Linked DNA regions of Lepisosteus oculatus. The protein of the gene in region 1 purifies or fractionates together with the protein of each later gene. This does not show direct contact. Links are inferred from orthologs where the notes say so. Each region holds a gene or a part of one and is shown on either strand. Other genes may lie near its edges.

Region 1 (11,206 bases):
AATGGAAGAACAGAATTTTCTATTCCCACTATAATAAAAACTGAAACAAACATATATTTTTAAAGAAATTAAATCCTACAATGGGTTTGAGAGGGGTCTGTACAGTGTCAGTAAACATTTCAATCTGGGTAAAAGTAACTACCCATATCTGATATATTTTCCCTTAACAGGGGAACAACATGAAGACAGTGGCATTCTGTTAGGAAAAAAAATAGATGAAAAATTTGCAGAAAAGAAACATTTAAAAAAACAACGTATCCAGGAATTCAGGTTCTGTGCCAGACAGCAGATGCCCAGATTATCTGGAGGCACATCTGATACACTCCAAAAGTACTGGCAGAAAAATTGAATTTATGTCCCTTAATCAGCACGTTGTCAACAGAGATGTCAAAAACAGCATAGTGTGACTCTATTACAATAAGTCCAAGCAGAGGTGCTGCATCCAGGAAATTGATAAATTATGTTAAGACAAGTTCTGAGTTTAACAGAAAGGTCATTAAGCTTAGAAAGTGACATCAACCTTAATAACAGGGCTCAATGATGACTATGATAAATACAGTGGACTGTAATTCCCCTAAGGGGACGGCCTCTGAGGACTGCACAGTAGCCACTAAAAAGGGTAAAAGCTATCCAAAGCCAACACTTCAGACAGGTGTCAAACTACATTCTTAACTTTGGATGAATTAATACACCCATGCATCCCAAAAACGACCTCACCACAAATCATCTAAATAGCGACCATAAATCATCTCTTGAATGAAATGAATGAAAATGAGCAAGCAGTCCATAATTGGCTTTATTTAAAGATATGAATATTTTAGGCATATTGAGTATATACAGTAGATACTAAATAATCCACCATAAGCGACAACACAAGAATATGTTTGCTGGAGCCCCGAACAATAGCTTTAAACGCCATTCATCTGCTAAACCTATTTTCTTTTCATAAGCACTGAACTGTGACTGTATTTTTAAAGCTGTATTTTTTTTTGCATTCTGTAACATTTTGTTTGAGACAAAATTATTATTCTCCACATTTTCTTATTAGGTGAAAAAAGTATGCAAATGTTTGACTTGAAGTGTAAAGAAGAAAAGTTATAGCTTGAAGTGTACGTCTGGACCCAAGGCTGAGTGCGACTCTTGTACTGTATTAATATCCTTTCTCAACAAAAGAAAGTGCTTCCTCTTCTTTGAATGAAATTAATAAAAATCAATTCAGAAAATAACCTAAAAGTATGCTGGGAAAAAAGTTTAGTCTTATTTTTAAGTATGCCGGTTGTATAATCTTTGTATCATACCAAAAGCTAATGTAGATAAACTAAATGGCAATTTCAGTATTAGTTATCATTACAGTCCATCAATAACCTACAGTAGTATGAACTGAACCTTACTAAAGATTAATAACATATTTGACAACAAAACTCAGATTGTTCTCATATATACATATGCATCTCATACATGTTTTATTAAGCAATTTAGTGTTAATTGTTATGCACTCATAATGTGATATTTGCATATCACTGAAGATTAAATTAACACATTACTTGTCAAGCTTTGTTCTTCTTAACATACCAGGAAAACCAACAACCTCCTTCTCATTTAACTTATGAAAAAAAATATCTTTGACTTTATTTGATATTCACTAATGTATTAATGTGTGCAATGTCTTCAAGTACACAATCTGTGTCCATTATGAGAAAAAGGGAGAGTCATTACATTTTAGAACAAGGGAATTTTCAGATTAGACTCATTGATGTATTGTTTCATAAGTTATTAATGAACCAGACCTAGTTCTATTCATGGGAACACAGGATAGAAATTTTCCCTCATGACCCAAAATAACCAGTGGAAAAGTGTCTATAATAAGTAATAAGATGAAAGACATAACCGAATAATTAGAATCCTAATTTTACATGTTATACAGTATATAGATGTAATATCTATATATCTCGGTTATACAGATGCATTTAATTTCTTATAGGACTACATAAAATTACGTAATAATACAGTACATGATCTCAAGAGTTTGAAAGCTGAGTATCCTGATGTCTTATTCCTTACAGTTAAGCAATATGATATAACTGATTGTGAAAACAGTGAGATTTATATGTTTTAAATTGAAAATATATTAATATTACTTTTTGGTAAACTAAACGTAAATACTCTAAGAGTATCTGAACTGAAAACCTAACATGAATGATATTTGCTAAATTTGTTAAGAACATACATTTAAAGTTTTATAATTGTCAAGTGTGGCAGTTAATTGTACCAGAAGATATTGGGAAAAGCAAATACTTCAGCAAGACTTTAAGACAAATACAATCTCTCTAGATAGAGGTATGTGACCATTTACAGAGGATAGATTTTAAAAGCCATAGAACTTAACAGACTGTTGAAATTACTGGATTCACAGTCTAGAATGCCTTGAAATGTGAGTTTGAGTAGTGGACTTGTTTTAAACAATAAGCCATTAATTCTTCCCACACTTTGCCAGAAAGGGAAAAAAGAGAAGAGCTTTGCCAACTCACTTTGTTTTAATTTTCATTTGGTCTTCAATTAAGTCTTGAATCTCTATTTAAGAATAACGAAACCTGGTTATATCTATATAGCTGGTTTTATTTGGAGAGTGACTAATAACGAAAAACATCTTTATGACCATCATCTAAACCTGTTTTTGCATTGTATAGAAAACATGATATGTTGAAGCACTTCTGAACCATATACAGCACTAAACGCTACTTTACACTGTAAACTAAGCATACTCTACAATCCGATTGTTTTAGTTAATATGAAGTATTTTTTTTACTGAATTTTTGTAATTTAGTCAAAATAATTTGTTCACCGCATCAGTTCTCTGGTGTCAATTGCTGGTGTTGCAGGAATACGAAGACACATTTTATTTTATATTTTTGAAAAGAAAAGCAAAATTCCCGTTTAGCTTTTTCTACGTTTTTATCAAGGCAGCATCAATAAGAACGAGATCAGTTGCGCCTGCATTACTTTCTGACAGCGTCCATTAACACGGATAGGTAATCACTTTTTTTGTTTGTTTTACTGAAACGACATTGCACGTTTGTTTACACAAAGAGACGTTAGTAGTTTTGTTAGACTGGGTAACCTAATCGATAAAATCCCCCACACTCTCACGCCACATTTAGTCTCAACGCAAGAACACACCTTTTTTCGCCCTGGTCCGCACACTACTACAAACAAAAACAAAATAACGATTTCTTACATACCTAGAGGTAAAATTAAGAAGAAAGGTAGCCAGCAAAGGATGAACACCCCGACAACGATGGCCAAAGTTTTGGCCGCCTTCTTTTCTCTGGAGAATTTCAGGAGGCGCACGGACAGGGAACTTCGGAAAGGGTGGCTTTTGCTTTTAGCGCTTGCGGCGGCTTCTTCCAGGACACTTCTGCAGTGAATCCTAAGGACGACTTCCACTGACTTATTCCTTTCTTTTTTCACCCCCGCTTCTAGGTTCTTAGTAGTCCTCCTGGCTACAATGTAGACCCTAAAATACATCACCAGGATGACCATGAGCGGGAGATAGAAGGAGAAAAGCGACGAGAAAAGGGCATAGCCCGGTTCTTCGGTGATGCTACAGATGCTCTCGTCTGTCGGCGGCGGTTCCTTCCATCCTAACAGCGGTCCTATTGAAATAACCATAGAGGAGACCCAGACAACTATTAAGATCACCACCGCTTTCTTTTCTGTCATTATAGTAGGGTATTTCAGGGAATGTTTCACTCCGATGTACCTGTCTATCGAGATTATGCACAGGCTCATAATAGATGCAGTGCAGCACAGCACATCCACCGCAGCCCAGATGTTGCAGAATATCCTGCCAAAAACCCAGCATCCGAGCACCTCTAAAGAGGCAGAGAAAGGCAGCACAATAGTACTTAAAAGTAAATCAGCTATGGCGAGGTTAATGATAAAGTAGTTGGTGACTGTCTGCAAGTGCTTGTTGCATACCACAGAAAGTATCACCAAGATGTTCCCCACGATCGCGAATAATATAAAAACGGACAGAAACACCCCTATCCCTATTGCCTGAGAATCCAATGTCAGCTCCATGGAGGTGTTGTTGCTGATGTTGGCAAAAGGTTGTTCCGCGAGAGACAGATTACCGGTGCCTCCGGAGTAATTTCCATTATCGTTATCATTGTTCGAGTCAGAAAAAGTCATTTTGAAACTCCATAAAGAAAAACGTTTTTTTTAAGTTAGTTCAGAGACACAATGAGACCATTAAAGCACTGCTGTGGAGCTGCAGTATGGAAATAATTCAAAAGATATGAAAAGACGCAAGAACTTGTGAACGCACGCTCAAGGTGCGTCTGTCGCACTGGAGAGTGGAAATACTTGTGCTTACATGTTTGTTGGAAAGCTTTGCAGCAACGTCATCACATTCATCCCCCCTACAAAAAAACACCAAAAAAGGTTAAATTCTAAATCATCAGTTTAGCAATATATCTCACTCTGAAGATCATTTCACCTCTTAGATTATTTCAACTTTTTTTCTGTTTTTCCATTACTATTATTAGTGACAGTTAAATTAGTTCTGTGAACGATATTCCTTTAACGTTTTGTTTTCTGCCGTGTGAAGAGTATTGCCCTGTTTGTTGATATTCCACAGACGACATCCACTGTGAGAAAACTCAAACCCAAATTACTGAGCTGCGGCTGAGATTTCACTGTCTCCTCCTCCCAGGAATGTAGTCTGTGACGCGACACATAATTGTTGTTGTTCAACGAAAGTCCACAAGAGGACAGCACATTCTTAATTTACAGATCATGTTCTACACAATCGCGTTAAAACTTCTTTCATCTATGTTTCTCTTTCTGTGATGTAGTTAAAAAAGTTAGGCAGATTTAAGTTTCGATACTCGGAGCTCAAGTGGAACACGTAACGATTTGCCTAGCTAGTCGTCGCTACGTGAAGGAAAAAACACTGTTAAGCCACTACACTGTCCTGATCTAACGAAAGGCTAACCTCTATTCCCATTGATGGTACGCAGCTGCTGTTCAAAACACTGCACACATCCCTCTGGCAAAACAGACATTTATTTTAAGAGCCACCAGAGGCTCATGTTGAAAGGTTAAGAGGGAAAGTAATCTAAAGGAACACACAGTCCTATAATTCATTCAGGATGTTATTCTTCAAGACGGTTGAGGTTTATGAACATTTTGCCTTCCTACATTTTCTTGAATTCTTAGTAATAATATTTCTGAAATATTGCACCACTGCAAAGACTTTTCACTGGAGAGCAGGACACAGAAAAAGTCTTCAGAAATAGCAGTAGAAATTAATCTAAAAAAAGCTGTGTCTAAATTTTACAGAAGGTTTAATCCCCTGTCTTTTTTATGTCTCACTTGGTATCATGCTATTCACTATTAAGTGGCACAATTCCCCAGCCTTGTCTTCATCATGAACTTGACTTCATGATACAACTGAAACAGATCTGTTACTACTGTGGTGTACAGCAGCTTTTTCCCTTTTGGCAGTTATGAGTTCATGGCAATGGCAGCCATAGGTTTTTGTTTTTGAAAACACCATTTGTAGGTATTTAGAAAATGCCATATTTGTTTAAGGAACTGGCTCTGTTCAAAGGAAAAAGAAAATCAAAATCAATAAGCAGTGGAAGTACAAAACCACATTGAAATATTGTCCGGACAGTGAGTAATACTGTAATTATTTGTTTGGGCACCAGGAAAATAAATTAATGATAATAATTTAGAATTTTTTACTTGTGGGTATAGTTACCATTATGAATTTTTAAACAGCACTGTGTAATGCCCTTTACACCTTATTTTCACTTGATAAAATGCTGAAAATGCTGGAGGTACTGTATAAGGCATGCAAGACTTTAGTTTGTTTGTTTAGACCTAGCCTGATTGTGTCGTAATCAGTAACAGATTAGGATATAGCTTATGATTTCAGCATATGCACGATAAGTTATACTTTTTATAAAACAAGGGAAAGGGCTGTAGTGATCAGAGATGACACTTCCCTTCACATTTACAAACTGCAACTGACACTAATATACCCAATTAGTCAGGAAGCAAAAGTCAGAAAATGAGCTCAGATACAACACATTTGGAAAAGTACATGTCTAAGGCTGATTGTTTTATTCAATACAACCACGTATCAATTTTCAACACAGTGATTTTTTTCATGCAAAGTGGTTGAAGTGTGATCTGAATTTGAATGTTTCCTCACTATTTTCTCACCCAGATAGCTCATATGCTGTATTAGTTCCTATCAGATCAGAGAAATGTAAGTGGGGTACTCAATGAGTACAGGAAAATTTAAGTCTCGTGATTCTGTTGCTACATCCTAGATAAAGTTTTCCATGTTCATGCTCTCTTTTTGTCCTAGTGGGGTAAGGTGATAGAGAGTTCTTTTGTTGATAAGAAATAGAGCATTATGTGACTGAATAGATTAGATTAATAGATTCTGATATTTTTTACTACAGACTAGAATGCCACAACTCTATCGTTCATGTGTTGACACTCACTACATTCACATAAATAAAATGTGTTTGTTTTGATGTAGCAACCGGATAAGAAAAGCGGCATCTTGCTGACAGGCTGATGAATCCAAGAGCTTGATCCCGGCGAAGGCTCGGACATTCACAAGGATGGATGGGGATTACTGAGGCAGATCGGAAGGCAGTCGCAGACGGGACTAATCTGTGAAAGATGGCGAACGCAGCTTTCAGGACTGATCTAGGCTACACTCTCCAGTGGGAATACAGGCTGCAAGTGAAGAAATGTGCCCCTGGTCTGGTGGTTGGCGACAACAGAAAGGCTGAGCAGGTTCAGGACAGACAGGGAGTCTTTCAGGTAGGATTCAGGCTGGGTGTCATTCTGAGACACAGGTTAATAATGCTTAGTACACTACCTGGGTTGGATGGTACCTCAATGACAGAGCACTGGATAAGTGGCAAATTCTCTTTTGTATTTCCTGGACTTGAGGGAATTAGCACCCATTTGTTGGAAGAAGGTGGTAGGGACAACGGACCCGAGAGAGTCTGAACAGCCCAGGGTGGTGTTCTAGTACATTGTCCTCTTGCTGATATGTCTGGTTACTGAGGAGACAGAGATCTGCGACCTCTGGCTAACCCAGGTATAACAGCATAGTTATTACAGTCCATTCTCCATTCTGTTGCATTTTCTTTTAGTTACCCTTTCTGATAGGGCTATGTGTGCATACATTTCTTATGTAACATGGACAACGCTTTCTCTCCTGTCTCTGAATGTATTGTTGTGCGAATCCATCACACCAACAGTAATTCACTTAACTGTCTGGTGAAGATTTACCCAATATAATTAAAGCAATAAGAAAGTTCACTGATCCTTGATGTTCACATGATAAAACCTGAAAAGTTCTACTGAGAATAAGGCATAGCATCTTCACTACAACTCCTTCTCTCATCCTGTGGTAAAATCTCTCCCTTTGTGTGGCTTTCCTCCTGGTGCTCTGTTTTTGTCTTTTAAGTACGGTATAAGTCATACATCAAAATTGGCTCTAGTGTGAGTGCATCTATTTGTCTGTGTCTGTGTGTGCCCAGTGATGGACAGGTGTCTCATCCAGGGTGTATACTGTCTTGCACCCATTGTTTTTAAGGATAGACTCCAGCTCCCCAGTGACTCTGAATTGGATGAAGTGGTTAGAGAATGGATGGATGGATGTTACCACGTGTTTATCTTTAATTGTTTATTTCCCAAAATACAACAAACACAAAATGGAACATGATATATTAGATAGCTTTATTAATCCCCTGAGGGAAATTGCAGTGTCAACACAGCACAGTGTAATGAAAAGATACAATAATAAACAATACAATACAGTGAGTACAGTCAGTGCGAAGTGCAGTAATTTGTTTTAATGGAGTATACAGAATTGCTCACATTACAGAAGATACAAAACAAACCAGAATGTACAGTACACAAAAGATGTAGTGCATATTATACATATATTGCACCAATTTCTAGCATATATTGCATAAAAATCAGTTGTAAACAGGAAAACCAGCTGTTAACAGAGAATTAATGTTTAGACACAAAACAGGCCAATGGTGCCCCTGCCCAGACACACAGTGGATGAGTTGTACAGTCTTTTGGCAGGAGGTAAGAATGACCACCTGTAGTGCTCCCTGTTGTGCCATGGTTGGATCAGTCTATTGCTGAACATGCTTTTAATTCTCACAAGCGTGTCATAGAAGGGGATGGGAGACTTGTTCACCATTCTCCTCTCAGCCACTACCTCCAAGGGGTCCAGATCAGACCCAATGACAGAACTTGCTCTTTTGATGAGCTTGTTCAGCCTGTTAGCATCCCCTTCTCTAATGCCAGAGCCCCAGCACACCACCACATAGAAAATAGCACTCGCACAACCGACTGATAGAACATATGGAGCATCTTACTACACACGTTGAAGGACGTGAGCCTGCTCAAGAAGTAAAGCCGGCTCTGGCCCTTAATGTACAGTAGATTATCTGTAACATATGTAAAGACTCAAAACTCAAAAATAGCCTAATTGAATGGGTTTGGAGGATAAGAAAAAAACATTTGACCAGGAAGTCACAGTTTTGTTGCAGTAGTACATCTTTCATGTCCTTTTGGCATTTCTGTTTCAAGCTGTGGAATCACAAATGTTTTGGGTAGGGATCACTTGCATGACTAAACAGCATGTGTTTGGAAACCATGGAAAACTATACACTTGAATTTGGAAAGGTGTACAGTATGACAGGATATATGTTGTCACGAAGCGTTCTTTCAGGACCCTATGCAGACAGCACAATCCGGGAGAAGTGAGGAAAACACGGGGAAGCATACAAAGGGGCTGGAAGGAAAACAGGGGGCGTATTCTAGGTGTGCTGGTGTTCAAGGGATGTGTCCGAGGCAAACAGTCCGAAGGAGTCCGAGGCAAATCCGAGAATATTCCAATGTCCAAAACTGGGAGATCCAACCTGACAGACAAACAAAGTTAAAAGGCAGGAGCGGGATCCGGTGGAGGGTTGGAGGAATAAAAGGGGGATAACGGGACCAGACGCTCCAGTCCTGGACCCAGAAGGTCAGGACGCCATTGAAGCCGATGCTGCCGAGTCGCTCCTGGACTCGCGGGGAGGTGGGCTTCCGGGCGTCCATCTTCCAAAGCTGAGACCAGATTGGCAGGAACGTCTGGCTTTTATAGGACATGGGGCAGGAACCAGAAGCAGGTGCTGGAGATGGAGACAAGGAAGGGCTGGAGCGTCCAAGGAGGGGTTTACGAGCGTGATGTGTGTACTGTATATCAATGGCCAAATCCTGCATTCAAATTAGTAAATAAATAGAAAATGTAATCATTTTTTAATCTAATATAATTTGCATTAAGTGGTTACAAAGAAAAGTATTTTTACAGTAAAAGAAATTAACCCAAATTCAGCAAAGTAAAGTGAGTGTGGCCCTTGGTGTAGCGTCAGTAAGGTCACAGAGTTCAGCTTAAGAAATGGTGCAGTTTTGAAGAGTCGACCTTAAACAAAATATCGAAGCAAAATTACCCCTTTCGCAGCCTCTAGCCTTGAAGAGAGGAAATTATGAAAAGACTTAATCAAAGCATTCAAACCCTGAATGGTATTGCACATTTAGCCTGAGAGACTACTTCATTCTCATCAATGACACAAGTACATGAGGACACAAGTGAAAATTACTATATAAGAAGTATATTTAGCACTGAAAGGAGGAGGTATACTGTAGGTGACTGAATCTCGCAATCCGGTAATTATGTAGAAACCAATGATTATTCTGAAAGGAAAAGCTGATTGTGATTAGATCAATATATTTCAACATTTAAATAAGCAGACCTGGTCAAATTACCTAATCTTTTTTTGTAGTCTTTTTTTTTGTTCTTATGTCATCAGATCACGTTCTAAAACAAAATCAGTAAAATCCAGAATTGTGTTGATGAAGGGTTATGCTTGAAATCAGAAAAATGACTCCTCTGCAGCAGGTTTATCTTGCCATTGTGATGGCATATTGGAGAGTGATGAGAAAAAAAGTTGACACCATTTCTCAGATGATTTATTATTAAGAAAAAGCTAATATGACTATCTAAACAGTGCCATTTCCGTGGATGTGATTATATGACAAAGCAATTCATAATATAAGGCAGCCAATAAATAATTTAATTGGAATTAGACACGCATCCTGCTTTGCAGTTTTTAAGAGTGTTATCTATGTGTCTATCGTCAGCTTTTTCTGAAGAGGCAGTGTGAGGGGCTTCTGTCAGCATGCAAGCTACAAAAGAACAAGAAGAGATTCATTCCAAGATGAAAAGGAAAAATATTTGGCTACGCTGCCTTCTTCTCCTATGAGGGGGCAGAGGGTGAGAACAGGAATAAGAAGCAAAGGGGAGTGGTGGCATTGTGGCTAAGGATCTGTGCTTGTGGCTGGAAGGTTGCCGGTTCAAATCCCGTGGCTGGTAGTGGAATCCTACTTGTTGGGCCCCTGAGCAAGGCCCTTAACCCCAGTTGCTCCAGGGGCAATGTATAAATGGCTGACCCTGCACTCTGACCCCAAGCTTCTCTCTCCCTGACTGTGTGCCTGTGTGAGAGCAAGCTGGGGTATGCAAAAAGACAAAGTCCTAATGCATGAAATTGTATATGGCCAATAAAGTGATCTTATCTTCCTAGGTGGAGAACTCAGGACAAAAAGACAGGAGAATGGGTAATGAGAATAATGAGATGGAAATCTGGGCAACCTTCTGAGGGAAGTGTGAAAGACAGCAGTCTGGAAGCCAATGCAGAGATTAGAAAGAGACTGTTGAATGATGGGGAAACGAATAAATCATGATGTTGGCTTCTGGTGTGTTTCTGGTATAAGAGTTGTTGAATCTCTGTTGACAGGATAGAAATTCCCTTCACTACATGTACAGTAGTTTTTAGTTCTATTTATTGTATCTTACATAGTCCATTCAGTGCTATCTTGATATATTCCCTTTGATTTCAAGCACTGGTTGCGCTGAAAAAACCCCAACTCTTTTTAAATAATTGATTTAATAATATAATGCGTGATCAGATTAGGAATGCCATGGCAACGTAAAATATCAGAATAAAGCACTTTAATTCAGGTTGTGCGAAGTGGAGACTGCACAACCTCCTTCCTATCCTTCTAAATTGATACTGGATTGAATGCACTCTGAGTGATGGGCAGAGCAGAT
Region 2 (11,431 bases), on another chromosome or scaffold:
AGATGTTCCATCTTTGAGCCATTCTTTGAATTCAAGTTACCAAGCCAAGTCATTTTTGTTTTAAAGTCTGTTACTGTACCATCGTTAGCGCTTTTAATAGGGGAGGAAAATGACAACAAATGCGTTCCTGATACACAGCAAAAGGATCATTTCAAAAGATTGATGGAACTGCACAATCCATACTGTAGTTCTTTGAATACATGTACAAGACGACGCTCAATAATTATAAAATGTAGGCTCCACAAAAATTGAGAAAATACAGTACCTGACCACGTTGCTACGTCAGGATGATTTTTAGTACACAGCAGTAAACTTGCACTGGAGTTGATGCTGGTTAAATAAATTGGTTTAAATCGAGGAGTTACAGCCCCGATACATCATCTTCCCAAATCCATAAAAGGTAAAACAATAAAGATATGCACTAGATTACAAGAGCTGATTGCACAGTTGCACATTACATGAGTACTCATCTTAACCTCAGGGCCAGCGGTGTGGGAGTAGTTTCTAAATTGACCTTGGCTCACACTGCAGTCTACAGTACTGGGCTGTTGCACTAAATCTGTAAAGGAAGCAAAGCCTGCAGACACTGATAATAAATGCTGCTTATGAGCTTTCAAAACGGCACAATTCTCTTTTTGACTCATATCCAACGACACCATTGGGCGCTCACAGAAATTCAGTAATTATCAAGATCCTGCAATATGGAGATCTGACACAGTTGTGGTATTCGGTTACACAAAAATTACAGCACATGCCAGCAACCATATCACCCTGCAACTCACAACTGGCAACCCACTGAAGCTCAGCAGGTGTGAGCCTGGTCAGTACCTGGATGGGAGACCTCCTGGGGTTGCTGCTGGAAGAGGTGTTAGTGGGACCAACAGGGGGCGCTCACCCTGCAGTCTATGTAAGTCCTAATCCCCCATTATAGTGAGGGGGACACTATACTGTAAAAAGGCACCGTCCTTCTGATTAGATGTAAAACCAAGGTCCTGACTCTCTGTGGTCATTAAAAATCCCAAGACGTTTCTCGAAATGAGTAGGGGTGTAACCCCTGGCCAAATTTCCCATTGGCCCTCACCAATCACGGCCTCCTAATAATCCCCATCTATGAATTGACTTCATTACTCTCTTCTCCTCCCCACTGATAGCTGATATGTGGTGAGCGTTCTGGCGCACTATGGCTGCCGTCGCATCATCCAAGTGGAGGTTCCACATTGGTGGTGGAGGGAAGTCCCTATAACCTGTAAAGCGCTTTGTAAAGTGGAGTGTCCAGAAAAGCACTATATAAGTGTAAACAATTATTATGATTACATGTAGAACTACAATTGTGATACAGTTATCACAATTCAGACTTCCCATTTCCTGCGATGTGTAATAGGGTAAAATGTTAAAGACCATCTCCTGAGCAGCTGAAACAGTCAAGGGCTCTGTGTGTAGAGCAGGTGGAGCCCTTCAGTTAAAATTGCTGACTCCATGTGGTCATACCACAAGGTGAAGTAGAACAGTTTCTCAACAGTTTCTCAAAGTGGTGACACACAATTGATTGAGCACCTCAGGCAGGGGGCAGGGGGCCTGACATACAAAACCCAGGGACTCCTGTGGTTGGCTGGGAACCCAAAAGCCTGCAGTCTGGGGTCTGAGTCCCTGCTGCTGGTACTGTAGGCTAGCAATGCGAGAAGAGAGGGTGTTTGTTTCAGAGGACATTCCCAAGTACATGTGGGTCTTCATCTTCATCTCTCACGCTAGTCCTAGAGTACCAGCTTTAAATTAAATTGATGACCGACTGCCACCCCCAAAGTGGGGAACATAAAATTAGTAGAAATTCAATATTTCCAGCAAAAGAAAACACAACAGGTTTTCTTCGCATTTCTTGAAGAGATTTATGTCCACATGTGCACCAATCCAGAACCACAAGACACATGTGCTGATTGAAATACAAAAAAAAATATTCTGTAGAATAACCATTAAATAAGTACTGTTAGTCTCAGCTATGTTACACAGTGTATACAAACTCCAAAAGATTTATGCTAGTTTTGGTAACATTGGAAAGCACATAACTGCTGGATTCCAATGTTCCCTTCTTCTGAAAGAAGTCTTAAAGTTCCCGTTGAATAAACATGATACATCCTTCCTGCCAATTGCTTGCATGTGCACAATACAGCAAACTGCAGTCTACTGACATTGTATTAGAACATCTTTTGTTCTTCATACAAACTGCTAACTTCTCACTCCTCAGCAGCAAACGTCACCAGCTCTGGTCCAGAGGGCTGGAAGCTGGTTTTCTAGCTCTCAAATACCATAACCTGTAGAACAGGGAGATGTTAAACTTGTCCAATACAGCCAATAGTGAATCCACTGAAGTCATTAAAAGCCCAGCTGGGCTGAAAACCCACAGACATACTGGCCCTCCAGGACGATAATTGGGGATCCCGGCTCTAGGGATTTTAAAGGGGACAAATGAACTATTTATATACAGCACTTCACAGTTAATTGCATGGTGGACATTCTTTATATTTCTGTATATTAACAGCAATATACAGGATTAATATAAAAGGATTTGACAAGCTAAAATCCTTTTAAGAAACTTGCTTAACGTACAGGGCAGTTTTTAAAGCCTTTTTTTGTTTGTTCGTTCTAGAGAAAACTATTCCTGAAGTAATCTTTTCGGTTTTAACTTTCAGATTCAAGGCATGTAAGGAAGGAAACAACTTTTTTACACATAAACAGAGTGTTAAAACTAAAATGACTAATTAATAACCAACACTCAGCCTACCAAAAACATCTGTGACATTCAGTATAAGGTTAATGCGTCGATTACTGTTATTCACGATACTTTGTGATTGGCGGAACATCTTCTATTTTTAAATGGTCCAGCAATTCACACTACACAGTCGGTAGTAACTGGGTGACAAGAGACGTGAAAATTAAACCACTTCAATACCATATTAATGTATTCCTTGTCCATGATAAAATCATTTTAAACGTTTATTTAAAAAAATTAAAACGGACTTTTCCCCCTTTTGTTATTTTTAAGGGAAAATGTTCCAGATAATAACAAATCTGGGAGTTTTTTTATTTTGCGCATCAAACCGAGTTTCCCTCAATACGTAACAATGTTTAAATAGTAAACAAGTGGAAGTATATTTGAATCAATGTTTAAAAACACTAAATGAAAATATTTATACAGTTTTTGTTTGTAGTAATTCACTCGGTTGCACAAGTTTAAAAAGCATTTACTGTAAAGTATGTTAATGTTGCCAGCACTGTAGTTCAATTCAATGTTACCATGTTCAGCAAGGTTGTGTAAATAGCAGATCCGCGGCTCAAAACGCCAGATTCAACGCAACGGGTTTCAATATTAAAATAAATTTAAACAACCTTCAGTATCTGGTCAAAGAGGAACTAGTGATGTAAACCTGCCATGCACTTAAATGTCTACTACACAAGTACAAATCATATGACTAATTTCGTTCACCTAAACCGCAAACGCGCTGCTGTGGATCCCAGTCTCTGCATTATTCAGTGTTAATCTACCTGGCCTAAGAATCTCAATTACAACGCCGAATTCTGGATGATTATATTTCAATAAAGAAAAGTTGTTTCAGTGTTTCACCTTCCACTGCGCCCCCTCTGAAACGAGCACTGCAAGGTACGATTGGAGATCAATATCTCTATCCTTCATGAAGAATATAAAGCGTTAGTTCTCTATGTACGATCAGTGGCAGTTTTATAATGGAATTGTTCCGCGTTGTTAAAACCGTCATAAAATTAAAAGTTTACATCCCTATCGCCGATATGGAGGAATATAACATGCGGCCTCCAAGCTCTTCCGATAAATTTAGAGTGTGATGCAAAGTAGTTAAATTCTCCACTTCAAACACCAAAACTTTCTATCATATTACTACCACTCTGGTTTACCACAAGAAAACAACCACGCGAGTTTCGCAGCTGCTAGCAAAACTCCATGGCATAAACAGCTCAGTACTGCTTCTGTACAAGGCTGATTGTTTGCTTGTGGAAAGCCCACCGCTTTTTTAAAAATGCATTTTTCCCCCAGCCTGAAATCAACGTAAAATGCAGTTTAGCGCGGTTTCTTTCTCGCAAAACTTACCTGAGAAACAAGGGGAATGAGAGTCTGTTCCACCGAGCGCGTTTTGATCTCTAGCCCGGAATCAAAGCTACTACTGCCGCAAGGAGATGAAGCCATTCCCGCCGGTCTTTTCTTTTCTTTTTTTTTAATTTCTTCTACTGCAAAGCACAATTCGGTTTGAGCTTTACTCCAGTTTTTAAAAAGGGGGAGCGCTTCTCTTGCGGACCGGCAAGTGAAAACCTAATCTCCGTGACGTTTATTTGTTTTTTGAAGTCATCGGCATTACTGGAGAATGCACTCGTGTTCGGCGTTTCTCCTTGCGATAATGCCCACACACTTCGCTCAACTACAGTAAACTGCCCGTGCGAACACTGCACCGCTGACTGCACCACCAAGAGGGTCTGAACACTACCGGGACTCGCCGAGCGGTAACTGGCTTGCTCTGCTGTGCTGACTCTCGCAGCGCCTGGTGACGACATGGTGCCATTCAACACCGCTCCACGAAACACTGCTCTGTCCCATTTCGTATTCAGACCGTCTCCGAGCACATTCCTACTTCATAATCATATTGTACTCTGTGCAACACCTTGATTAAAAGATCTGCCACACTCTTTTCCACGTTACTGTTCTTTTTTTTCCCCTAAACGTTTTGTGGACGTTTCTGTTTTAAATGTACAACATACTGGGAGATTGTTATTCATGCTTTGCCCAGAACATACTGTGGCAATTTATTTGTTTTCAAAGAAAAGACAGATGTTAATATTTCTGAGAGTACGAGGAAATTCCTGTAGGAGCTCATAAAACAAATTGGCTGTAGTTCCGCTGCATTTTCAGGGGCTACATCTCACGATTTGCAGGAACTTGTGTGAAACGTAAATGTGAAGTAACATAATTCTGCACAACCTGTATCTTTCAATGATAGAATCCAAAAGATACAAAACAACTGACAGATACAAAAGTTGAATGTAAGAAACATAAGTTAGAGCATTAACATCGTGACTTGTTTCTAACATGTCCAGTGCACTTATAAGCTAATTACAATCTAAGAAATATATATATGTATAAATGCAAAATAATGTATTATGCCCATTAGCCTTTTATTACCAGTTATGCAAGAAAAGGTCAGCTGTTATTTGAGTCTCAGTCATGTGGAGTTACATTGCATTTTAGGCTGTAGATCTACACGCCATTTAGGCACTGAGCTAATAATGGAAAATCATCCGTGGTCTATTTGCAGCTCATCCAGAACTTTACTATTCATCTCATACTCTCTCAGGCTCTTTACTTCTCTTTATTTCTCCTTCAGATTTATCTATCACCTCATTCCTTACACTTCTTAAGGCTCACCTGCAGCCCATATTCATTTCTCAGCATTAACGTAATAGATAGATACTTTATTGATCCCATGAGGGAAATTGCAGTGCAACAGCAGCTTAACACAGACAACACAGCAACAGTGTAACGAATGATACAACAATAATAATAATACAATACATACAATACAATCAGTACAGTGAGGAGTGCACTATGAAGAGTTACTCACAGTCCAGAACACACAAAGAACAGAACAGTACACAAAAAAGTCGTATTGCACAATATAAATATAAATATATAAATGTATTGCACAGGTCCCTGGCATATATTGCCCAAAAACGGTTTTAAACGGGGAAAAAGAAAAAGAACAGATGTATCAGTTTACTGTTCAGTCCAGAAACAGGTCACTGTCAATGTTGCCTCTGCCCAGACGCAAGGTGGATGCGTTGTACAGTCTTATGGCAGAAGGCAAGAATGACCTCCTGTAGCGCTCCCTGTCACACCGTGGAGGGATCAGTCTATTGCTGAACGTGCTCTTCATTTCCACAAGCATGTCATAGAGGGGATGGGAGACGTTGTCCATGATGGCCTCTAGTTTGGACACCATTCTCCTCTCGGCCACTACCTCCAGGGGGTCCAGGCCAGACCTAATGACGGAGCTTGCTTTAATGTGATTAACTACAATACTGTAGTTACTAAAATTATTTTGTTTGTATTCTCTTACAGTATGGCTCTTTTTGTTACCTATCCCTATAGCACAGTACTTTTTCTTTGACATAGGTATACTGTAACCCAAACAATAGATGTGCCTCGTTGTTCCATCTGTGAAACTCAGAATGGAACGGATGATTTACAGGTTACAGATACTGCAGCACTCTCAGAGATCTTCAAGTTCTTGGTGTCGGGCTGTAAACCCTGGGTTAACTGGAAACCAATGGTTTAAAAAATGCATCTAAAACCACAATCAATTACAAAGAAAAAAAAAGTATTTCAATGTAGTATCATTGTAATATAATGTTCAGAGGTCCATGCTGTTTAAGTGTGATTATTATTGCATATTGCAGAGGGGGTTCTGCAATAAACCATTGGAGGATGAAATAAATATTATTGTGGAAATGGGTGACTGTGCCTTTAAATGAAAGAATTTTACCATTTCCTAGTATTAAGATTTTTAGTGCTACAGTGCCTTCAGAAAGTATCCTCCACCACTGCACAATTGCAAATATTGTATTATGACTGGAATTTTGAATGCATTGAAGTTAATTTTTGCCTCGTTTAACACAACACACACAACATTTTAAGGGGGCAAAATATTTTTAAGATTAAGATTAAGATCACTTTATTAACCATATACAATTTCTTGCATTAGCAATTCGTCTTTTCGCATACCCCAGCTTGCTCTCCACAGACACACAGATATGGAGAGAAGCTTGGGGTCAGAGTGCAGGGTAAGCCTTTGTACAGCACCCCTAGAGCAGTTGGGGTTAAGGGTCTTGCTCCGGGGCCCAACGGAGTAGGATTCCTCTGCAGGCTGCAGGATTTGAACTGGCAACCTTCCAACAATTTCTATTGTGTAATGAACATTTGTCTGAAAAATTTAAAACCGAAATATCTAATTTACAGGCAGCACAGCGGTGCAGTGGTCAGCACTACTGCCTCACAGCACTGGGGCCCTGGGTGTAATTCCAAACCTGGGGTGCGATCTGTGTGGAGTCTCTATGTTCTGTCTGTGTTTGTGTGGGTTTCCTTTGGGCTGCTCTGGTTTTCATCTACATTCCAAAGACATACTGGTATGTTAATTGGCTTATTAATTGGAAAATTAGTCCTTGGCGCAAGTGTGTGTCTGTATTTGTGTCTGAGTGTCTACCCTGCAATGAACCACCTGTTTAAATGGTCAAACTTAAAATGTTCTTAATGTTTCAAATTTAGGGTTAATTAAGGGTGATCCGCAGTACCTGCTGGATTATGGTTCACCAGGAACAGGGTTGGCCCTGTTCAGTACAGGGTTCTGTTCTAAAGCCTTTCTGCGCCATTTTGTTTAATGGAGATAAATAAAATTTGTAACCTAGCCCGAAAGAAATGTTTAATTTGATTTCACTACCCTTTCATATTCCCGTAATTAGTGATTCATAGTTTTATCAGCCTCCTGTCTAGCATTTAACAAAGAGGTTTAAGAAGCTGCTGAGCTGACATCCATTTCAATCTAAAAGAATGAAACCTGCAATATGAATTATTTATGTTCTCTGTTCCCTCAGCAGTTATCCTTTAGTGGAACAGGTTTGGGGGAGGTGGACAAACAAATCTCTTTAAATGAGGAAACGTTACACTAGGGGCTTCAGTTATGAATGCTTTTACAGCTGTGCTGATGTCTGAGAAAATGAAAATGTGAAACTGACCAGGAGTGTTCACAGTCTTGTCATAGTTGTAACTAACAAAAATACCAGTTATAATAACACAAAGCTTCGTGACACTGGGTTTGGGAACCTTACCAATCTTTCGGAGGTGGGATTGAGCCATTTTCTTATTCTGAACAGAATAAGACCTACCACATCTAGCTAGAGGCCTGCTTCTTCTTTGTCACACAGCATCTTACGACATGTCCTTTGTGGTACGATGTTTTATTGGCCCTATTTATTGTAGCACGTAAGACTTGTTTGTCATCTTGGGTGGCTTTTGTTTCTGAATTCTCACTCATTGTCGGAATAAAGTGACGGAGATTCACAGTGCATTCTGTGGTGGTTCGATGAATTACAATGTAAAAATCCCAATAGGTGCAACTCACGAGACTGACTGTGTACCCAATTTGTTGTGTTGGTGCCTTGTCATTACACCTGCGAGCTGCAACCAAAGCTAGGAGAATAATCAAAATTCTGAATTGATACACTCAACAATCAGGTTATCAAATCACAGTTTTGTTAACTACATTTCGCAGTTGAGGTTAGAAAAATGCCCAGAGAACCTTAGAGTATCCTTTAGTCATACTTACTTAGTCATACATATTCTCTAGTCATACTGTACTTTCAATAGTACCACAAATTGAGGAATGTGCTAACTGTAGCATCAACTCTTAACAAATTAACTGACCTCATTCACAATTTAACTCCTGTTTCATGAGATAAACATATGCAAATGTCATTTTAAGGTATTCGTTTTTTGTTGCCTCGGTTAGAGTTATGGTTGTAAGGAAGAAATCGTATTGCTAATAGAAATAAGCAGATCAGGAGATTGTTCTGACAGCACATTTATCTAGAGAGGGGAATGGAGAGATACTGTATATTAAAGTGGTTCTCCCTCCTTCTCCCACCTCCTAAGCGCTCAAAACTAAAAGTATTTGTGTAAGATGTAGGGCATTGTTTACAGATAAAATGAGGTCTAATTGCCCTTGACAATTCTGTGAAGATGTGCTTAGTGACCATTTACAATTTGAGTTAAAAAGTATAAAATCTTTCAAATAAAACATTTTCTTATTTCCATATTCTGTACGTGTAAACCTCAGATTCGGTTTCAGAATTTTTGATAGTCGTATCAGTTCAACAACAACAGCAACAAGCAATCAGTTATACAACAATATTGGAGGCGATTGATGCAATGTAAACAAAACAGCATCTGAATGCTTTTGACATGATTGATATTGACTGTGTTTGCCTTACATACAGTGCCATAGGGAGCCAATATTTTAACACAATACATAAGCTACAGCTTTACACTTCAAAACCTCAATATCCTATAGTCAAATCCCCAGCGTATTTTTACTTACCACTGTGTAAAGTACCTTTCAAATGCAGATTTCTTCCAAGAGCTTTTTTTTAAATAGCAATATATTTCATTTCTAATTTAATTTAAGCTTGATCAGTTGTATAAAGTATATGAGCAGCTTAAAGGGTCTGACCAGCTAAATTAATGAATTTGTGCACTTTTTCCAAGTAGGTGTCAAAGCTGAGTTGCCAGTGCACTGAAAGAAATTATTCTGGAAGGAGCAAAAGTTGTAAATATCGCCAAAATCAAAACAAATTTGAATAATTATAAAATAAGGGAATTAGAAACCGAGAATTTCTTCAGTAAAACAAGAACTGAGTGGGGTGTGAGTAAGATGCATTTTTCTGAAACTGAATGCCAAACAAAACGGCAATTCAATTTTACAAAGCAATCCGAATGGCTAGGTTTTGACAGTGGTGCTGTCTTTTCTCATTGAAACAGTCTTATATCTACTTCACTTAGCATTCCTGCTCTTTTCTCAGTATGAAATATTAAAAATCTACAGGGGCCTCAGTTCTATTGACTTTCCTGTGTTGTGAAAAAGACAGGGCTATAAATTACAGCCAAAGCCATAGGATAGCCTGATTGACTTCTAACACCATGGTTTTCTTTTTTCTTACATATGGATATTCAAACCAAATGCATAGTTCCGAGGATTATGGCAGTAGTTGGCTTAGTAATTAAACAGCAATTAATTGCAGTTATGTGACTAGTTAAGACTGATCCCTGTTAATTGTATTCGTTTTGTGTGAACATACAGTAGTCAGGGAAAACCAGAAAAGATACAGTGTATTAAAGGCGGTGTGATAGTACAAGCAGATTGTTGCTCTGTTCAGTGGTTATATTGATCTTTGTGTCCATCATAGTAGTCTCTTGGGTACTCTTGGAGTGGCTACATCTATAATAACCACTGAGAAATTAAATCACATGTGTTTCTCAAGACTGAGTCAGGAGATGAGTTCAATGCATTGTGAACACCAAAAGTACATTGTGACCCCAGTACTAAAGATCCCTACATTTTCTGGTTATCATTGGTACAGTTTCTTTTTTGGTACTGTATATGACCTCTCGCACTGTGTTTTTATTATTGGGGTATTATAGACCATGAAAATTAGATAAAACCTGGGAACGTTACAACAATATTTTCAAATACTTGTTTTTTTTAAGTTGCAAAATGTGAGATGCCCTCTTTTCTTTCTGTGAAATTAGTCGTGAAATATTCAATAATGTAACCTATAAACATTGACATATACTTTGTCAATTGGTGGTATTTTGAGTACCTAAATACCCCTTTTATCATCAGTATGACACATCATTTCTCATTGGATTCTCTTCTACTATCTGACACAACAGTAAGGAACAGAGCTGGAATTCTTATTTTATTATTTTTATTTTATATTGTAACACTCCTGGATTCACATGGGTATGCACCCTCACCACCGCTACCTCAGATCAGCCCCCCCACCGCTGGGGACTTGAACCCAGGCCTCTGGCATCACTCAACAGGGACCCAGCTAGTTGAGCTAGAGAGAAATCTCCCTGTATCCCGTCGGCTGTGGTCCCTGCTATTCACAGGGAAGGGTGGTGACGTCACTACGCTGGTAAGCCGGCTCGTACAACCTGCAATGGTGGCCGTATGCTTTACACTCTCCCCCGCTATTCGACGTCCTCGGCGAAGGGCTATCCCATCCCACTGCTAACACCAATGTTATGCTCTCGGATTCATGTGGGTATGCGCCCTCACCGCTGCCGCCTCAGGTCGGCCCCCCCGCCGCTGGGGACTTAAACCCGGGCCTCCGGCGTCACTCAACAGGGACCCAGCCAGTTGAGCTAAAGGGAAATCTCCCTGCAGCCCTGCGGCTGAGGTCCCTGCTATTCACAGGGAAGGGTGGTGGCGTCACTGTGCTGGTAAGCTGGCTTGAACGACCTGCAACAGTGGCCATATGCGTTACAATATTCTTATTATTTCTGAAGTGAAAGACTGCACACATCAGATTCTCTTCTTTATGCTCACTCTCTATTACCCGAAGAACAGATATTTTGAATTTAACAACCAAAAGACAGCTTGCCAGCATATGGTTAGTTATTGTCCTGTAACTTTTATCAACCAGACATATTGTAAGACATATTGTAAGTTAATATTTCCTGTAAACTGTTTGCATGACTCCAGTCAGTCTTTCTCTTTCATGTATAGCAAATATTAAGTGAAATATTAAATACAAATGAAATCAAATTACAAAGTTGCTCTTAATCTAATAAAAAGTGAAA

The links.
Region 2: the proteins of adra1d (region 1) and ctnnal1 purify together in Homo sapiens (tandem affinity purification; 3 studies listed by IntAct, with this or other methods). This does not show direct contact. The link is inferred for Lepisosteus oculatus from reciprocal best matches to the Homo sapiens genes ADRA1D and CTNNAL1.

Annotation. Positions count from the first base shown.
Region 1 is NC_090696.1:7,474,687-7,485,892, forward strand, and holds the start of adra1d (alpha-1A adrenergic receptor), read right to left. Parts: upstream 4,645-11,206; 5' UTR 4,192-4,644; coding exon 3,240-4,191; intron 1-3,239. UniProt on the Homo sapiens protein: This alpha-adrenergic receptor mediates its effect through the influx of extracellular calcium.
Region 2 is NC_090705.1:32,494,997-32,506,427, reverse strand, and holds the start of ctnnal1 (alpha-catulin), read right to left. Parts: upstream 4,537-11,431; 5' UTR 4,211-4,536; coding exon 4,115-4,210; intron 1-4,114. UniProt on the Homo sapiens protein: May modulate the Rho pathway signaling by providing a scaffold for the Lbc Rho guanine nucleotide exchange factor (ARHGEF1).